Linked DNA regions of Saccharomyces cerevisiae S288C. The protein of the gene in region 2 binds, or shares a complex with, the protein of the main gene of each other region. Each region holds a gene or a part of one and is shown on either strand. Other genes may lie near its edges. A codon is read from its position in the direction of its gene.

What was found.
Region 1: the proteins of ATP16 (region 2) and ATP15 are in contact, whole or in part, in a crystal structure (PDB 3ZIA), measured with the Saccharomyces cerevisiae proteins. Residues at the interface, in NP_010280.1 of Saccharomyces cerevisiae: His40 (codon at 1,197), Gln73 (codon at 1,098), Leu74 (codon at 1,095), Leu75 (codon at 1,092), Pro76 (codon at 1,089), Phe91 (codon at 1,044), Ile92 (codon at 1,041), Ser93 (codon at 1,038), Gly94 (codon at 1,035), Gly95 (codon at 1,032), Phe96 (codon at 1,029), Ile110 (codon at 987), Glu111 (codon at 984), Phe113 (codon at 978), Glu116 (codon at 969), Ser117 (codon at 966), Phe118 (codon at 963), Ser119 (codon at 960), Asn122 (codon at 951), Ile123 (codon at 948), Leu126 (codon at 939), Arg140 (codon at 897), Ala143 (codon at 888), Glu144 (codon at 885), Ala146 (codon at 879), Ile147 (codon at 876), Gln148 (codon at 873), Glu150 (codon at 867), Val151 (codon at 864), Leu152 (codon at 861); in NP_015052.1 of Saccharomyces cerevisiae: Ser2 (codon at 2,060), Trp4 (codon at 2,066), Ala7 (codon at 2,075), Gly8 (codon at 2,078), Ile9 (codon at 2,081), Ser10 (codon at 2,084), Tyr11 (codon at 2,087), Tyr14 (codon at 2,096), Leu15 (codon at 2,099), Val17 (codon at 2,105), Ala18 (codon at 2,108), Ala19 (codon at 2,111), Ala21 (codon at 2,117), Ile22 (codon at 2,120), Arg23 (codon at 2,123), Ser24 (codon at 2,126), Ser25 (codon at 2,129), Leu26 (codon at 2,132), Lys27 (codon at 2,135), Thr28 (codon at 2,138), Leu30 (codon at 2,144), Gln31 (codon at 2,147), Arg38 (codon at 2,168).

The regions. Positions count from the first base shown.
Region 1 is NC_001148.4:28,023-30,815, forward strand, and holds ATP15 (F1F0 ATP synthase subunit epsilon), read left to right. Parts: upstream 1-2,056; coding exon 2,057-2,245; downstream 2,246-2,793. Other genes in the region: PBI1 (Pbi1p), read right to left, coding at 1-142; ATP-binding cassette permease MDL2, read left to right, coding at 2,460-2,793. UniProt on the Saccharomyces cerevisiae protein: Mitochondrial membrane ATP synthase (F(1)F(0) ATP synthase or Complex V) produces ATP from ADP in the presence of a proton gradient across the membrane which is generated by electron transport complexes of the respiratory chain.
Region 2 is NC_001136.10:441,353-444,342, reverse strand, and holds ATP16 (F1F0 ATP synthase subunit delta), read right to left. Parts: upstream 1,315-2,990; coding exon 832-1,314; downstream 1-831. Other genes in the region: MED2 (Med2p), read left to right, coding at 2,034-2,990. UniProt on the Saccharomyces cerevisiae protein: Mitochondrial membrane ATP synthase (F(1)F(0) ATP synthase or Complex V) produces ATP from ADP in the presence of a proton gradient across the membrane which is generated by electron transport complexes of the respiratory chain.

The DNA.
Region 1 (2,793 bases), on a different chromosome or scaffold from region 2:
CATCAGAATGCCAGTCAGCGTCATTTTCTCTACTTAAAGATTTTGAATATGTACTCGAAAAAATAGTTCCATTTCTTTGGTCATTCAAAGATTGAGTGAGAATTTTTTTTTCAAAACTTGATAGTGGCCTAAACGTAGTCATTATGATAAAGTGAGGATGTGTCTGTGTTGTGAGTTACAAATGCACTTCTTTGGACAGGTATAACAAGGATAACGTATACACCCTTTTATATATGACCGTCCCCCCATACAAATTTGTGCTCGTATGCCGAGTGTGATCTACTCATCGCTTCGTTAATGAATCGTTTAGCCAAGAATATAGTAAACGTGTAGCAGAGTCATACCCCTGATGGCTGCAGACGCAGGGAATACTCAGCCTCGAAACAGTTTTCAATTTATGTGCGTATGCATGGCTATAATCTTCTATTTCTGTCACCTTTCGTTTATTCTAAACGAATTTGCGACGTTCAACGAAAGCGCGTTGAAAAAATTAATCTCTGAAGTTAAACGGTCGGAAAACAGACAAAAAAGTTGTTGTTATTACTTGTAGAGGAAAGAGCTATTTCATAGCTCGTTTGGGAATGCAGGGGTGACGTCCTTCTTCGGGTGTGTTGTCCTAACTTTCCTTAAACACATTGGGCTATCATACCAGTGAAAAAGAAACATACAATGGTCAGATTCGCTTTATTTGGCTACGAGAATGTGGCGGCTAAGTTCCCTCAACAACTATTCCACCAATCTTGATGGCTTTTCTAAGGCTCTAAGTAGACGTTAAGGTGGCTAAGATTCTAAAATTTTGCCATTTTTCGAGGTTGTGCTTCGCCCTATCCCTTGGAAAACATTTCTAATCATCTTAAATTCTGTGATTGAGAACGTTTTAACGTTATCTTAAACGTTTCCATAGAAGAACGAACGTGAAGGTTTGTAGCTCGTTAAAAGGCGATCTTGAATGATGTGAAGAAGTGTAAAAGGCTTAGGAAAGTTGCTTGTTGACCCGGTGTCGTTCAATATACTCCTATTACCCAAATGGCAGTTTCATAGAGTGATATTATTTCGTTGCCTTGTGTAAGTTAGAAGTACTTCTTGTCGATTGTGAATTCGGATAGCCGCTAGAACGCCAATCATTGCGGAGGTTTGCCATCGCATGGATACCATAGCCATCTGCACATTCTAATATAGATTATATTACTTTAGACCATGTCATTTCATAATCGTTGGTTTAAGCGGTGTTGTTTCCACAGTTTGTATGAGAACTTTTGTCCAAAGTAAAGTATCAGTAACGTAATCTGAGCAAACCTACATTAAATCGTAACTCCGCGAGATTCTTTTGTTCAGGTGGATCAGCGGCGTGGTTTACTTCCGATTTGCTCATCGTGCGCATAGCAGCATTTATTCCTCTAATTCGCTCGATAATCAACCTTTCCGCACTACGACGGTGGCAATAGTTGGACCTTAAGATATGCCTATCTGAATACAATTCTTCAACTCACATCAGTGGGACACTAAATAAAGCATATGGTATGAAATACTATGAATTATTGAATTATTGGCAGACACAGCAGCGACAAGTCAGAGTGCTTACAAAAAAAAAAGAGTTGATCCGGCTAAAGAAAGTCTGATTTACGTATTTATCCAGGTTCAAACGGATTGCCAAAAATAGTCGATAACCTCGGAGTAAGCAAAGCAACAATATATTTGTTCTTCGAAAAGGTAAACTTCTTAACTTCTATAGAAGCATTGTACTAGTTCTCTCGAAGAAAAAAACTAAGAAAGCTATAGCTGTATCTTACCAAGCCATGAACTTGAGGAATTGGTAATCCTTATTAGGAAATACGCTAAACTAGGTAATAGCAGATGATTTACTAGCTTACTATCTCACACTAAGTCTGGCAACGCGCTTATTTTTTAATACTTTTATACGAACCAATGAAATTTGATCCTCCCCTTTTTCGTCTAGTTAAATGAAGAGATACAAGTAGGCCTTTCTATTGAGTACTTAGCAAGATATGTATTTCTAAGAAACATCAACAGTTTCAGCCCACAACCGATTCATAAAATGTCTGCCTGGAGGAAAGCTGGTATATCATATGCTGCATATTTGAATGTGGCCGCTCAGGCTATCCGTTCTTCATTGAAAACTGAATTACAAACCGCTAGTGTTCTTAACAGATCGCAAACAGATGCTTTTTATACCCAATATAAAAATGGCACTGCAGCTTCTGAACCCACTCCAATAACAAAATAGTTTAACGCTTCCTGGGAACTGCAGCTCTTTTTTTACTCGCTGATATACATTTTAAATATTCTAGCAACTGTGTATGAAAACTTACGTACTTTTATACGGGAAACTAATAATGACTACAATGATATTGAATACTGGCCGCTTCGAAGAGTGGTATAAAGTTTGTATCATTGCATTAAAAGAAAAAGAAATATATGTCCCATCATCGCCAATCGCAATGTTGAATGGTCGTTTACCACTTTTGCGGCTGGGCATATGCAGAAACATGCTGTCCCGTCCCCGACTGGCTAAACTGCCATCTATAAGGTTTCGGTCTTTGGTCACCCCTTCTTCATCGCAGCTCATTCCTCTCAGTCGGTTGTGTTTAAGGTCACCTGCAGTTGGAAAATCACTAATTTTACAAAGTTTTAGATGTAATTCATCCAAAACAGTTCCAGAAACTTCTCTGCCTTCAGCCTCTCCCATATCTAAAGGATCAGCAAGGTCGGCACATGCAAAGGAGCAATCTAAAACTGATGACTATAAAGATATAATAAGGTTATTTATGTTGG
Region 2 (2,990 bases):
TGAATTTCTTTTTCATTATATAATAAACGCGTTTGAAGAACATTTTTGCAGTGGTAATTGTTTTTATTTAAGAGGCCGGGAATGAAATCATCATCTCACATCCAGTCTACAGGGATCTTTTTCTTTACAAACTCTTATTCGCATAAACATTCATATTTTTGATTAGGTAATTGGAGTTCCATCACCATCAATATAGCAACTAATGAACATTCATTCTCAATTAAAAGCACCTTATTATGGAGGCTCCTTAATTTTCTTGTTCTCATACTTTTATAATCAGATATTTTGTTGAACTCAATCTCCCACTTTATTCGTGATTTAGTGTAGAACAAACTTTGGTGTAATTACTGACACGAATACGAGGAAACACTGGTTTTCGCTGGGGCATGAACGTTTTTTTCATTTTTTTAGAATATACGGCAACAGTGCCCGAAGTAAAATTGCTGTGCAAGAAGGACTAAAACATAAATAGGAAGGACTTAGGGAAGTGAAAACTCACTGGAATAACACGATGATCTGCAACTAGGGCTTTCATACAGGATTTAAAGAAACAGTTGTAAAAAGTATTACTTTCTAGGACTATTAGTTATGAAAATTACATGTTAATGTTTTCTCTTTTGTTTTCTTGTTTTTGAATATAAAATAATAAAATTTTCTGTATATATACGCTAATAAACGGTTTCTCTGTATACTTAAGACATCAACCAAAATGGAAACTTAAATTCGAGTAGAACAAACAATGAATTTTGGCGCTTTCAAGCGAATTGCTTGTCAACACTTAAAAACGTAGACTTCTTCCCCTCAAGTTCTAGAATGCGTACCATAAAAACGCTATTTCAATACGGATTGTAGGTTTTCTAAAACTTCTACTTGAATTGCAGCTTCTGCGGCTTCCCTGGCATCAGATGAACTAACGTTCTTCTTAGCTTCTGCCAACAAATTTTTTATATTTTCTTGTGAAAAGGATTCCAATGGAAAAGCTTCAATTGCAGTTACACATAACTGCGAGTCTGGTTGAACTGTTGCAAATCCACCTGATATAAAGAATTTTTTAGAGTTAGAGCCTTCCATAACTTCAACGACACCTGGTAGTAATTGTTCAACGGTGGGAACATGGTTGGCCAATACACCAATACGTCCTGACTTAGCAGGCAGGTTCACTTGAGTAACTTCGGAGCCACTATATAAAGTTTCGTGTGGTAGAGCAAATTGTAACTTCAAACCTGATGATGCGGCAGCAGCTTCTGCATATGAACGCTTAGCGACGAAATTCAATGATCTTGATGCACTCTTTCCAATAATTGAACGTAACATTTTCCTATCCTCACGGCTACAGTTATACCTTCACAAATTGATTGAGGCTCTTTTAGCAGTGTGTGTACGATACCTTTATTGTTATCCTCCATCTAATTTAACATGAACTTTTACAATGATGGGACGGCCCCTTCCTAGACGACTCCATAATGCGCTTTGATTGGCTGGGCATCTATTTTCGTTAAAGGTGATTACAGGCGGTGACCGAGGTGAATAATATACAAATTAGCTATTATTACCAAGTCCTAAGAATAATATTTAAATGAGGTTGTCTACATTTTTAGCTTATAGTCTTCTTTCTTTTCTATATTATTTGAAGTTGTGTATAAGTATTTTTATTGCAAGGCCAGAGCTTGTCAATCATCAATCTCCTAGGCATTTCACACTTGTCTTTCGTGTAATAGTAAGAAGTAAATATTATAATATTTAATGAATTGGTACCTTTTAGTTGTGCATCGCATACGTTGACCATTTTAAAAACTATTATATCTTATGTTTATACTATTTTCTTCCCAGGGAAGCAACGTCTTAATTACAATGATTAGGATATTACCCGCTTGTAACGAGAAAAGTTAAATGTTTCCAATGACATCAAGAAATTCAAAGCGGGATAGAGAGGGTTGCTGGAATATTCACCAAAATTTCAATAGATGTTCTGGTCTCAAGATAGTTTAAATTTGAAGGCGGATCCTCCCAAATAAACTGCCCGTCTGAAAGTAATGGTAGTACAAAATAGCCCAGTTTCGTCTGTTCACACAGCCAATTTCTCTGAACGGGGGAGCAATACCAGAACAATGACGTATAAAAATAAGCTTACTGTTTGCTTCGATGACATCCTAAAAGTTGGAGCAGAAATGATGATGCAACAACAGTTAAAAAATGTACAACTAGATTCTTATCTCGTCAATGGTTTCAGTCAATCTCAGCAAAAATTATTGAAAGAGAAGGTTAAATTATTTCATGGAATTTTAGATGATTTAGAGACTTCTCTAAGCCAGAGTTCTTCATATTTAGAAACTCTTACTGCACTCGGAAAAGAAAAGGAGAAAGAAAGAGAGGAAGCTGAAAAAAAGAGGGCTGAACAAGAAAATATGAGGAAGGTTAGAGAACAAGAAGAATTAAAAAAGCGACAAGAACTCGAAGAAGCCTCCCAACAGCAGCAACTCCAGCAAAATTCAAAGGAAAAAAATGGCCTTGGTTTGAACTTCTCCACAACAGCACCTGCGAACACAACGGATGCCAACGGTTCCAAAGAGAATTATCAAGAACTTGGATCTCTTCAATCATCCAGTCAAACACAACTTGAGAACGCAAATGCTGCTAATAACGGTGCCGCATTTTCTCCCTTAACCACTACTCGAATCCAAAGCCAGCAGGCCCAACCCTCGGATGTAATGTTCAACGATTTAAACTCTATGGATATTTCGATGTTTTCAGGCCTTGACAGTACTGGTTTTGACTCCACAGCCTTCAATGCCACGGTGGACGAAACCAAAGGCTTTGACGATAATGACTCAGGTAACAACTACAATGACATAAATATTTCTTCTATTGAAAACAACATAAATAATAATATCAATAGCACCAAGAACGGCAAGGATAACAACAACGAAAGCAACAAAAATAACAACGGCGATGAAAAGAATAAGAACAACAACGAGGACAACGAGAACAAC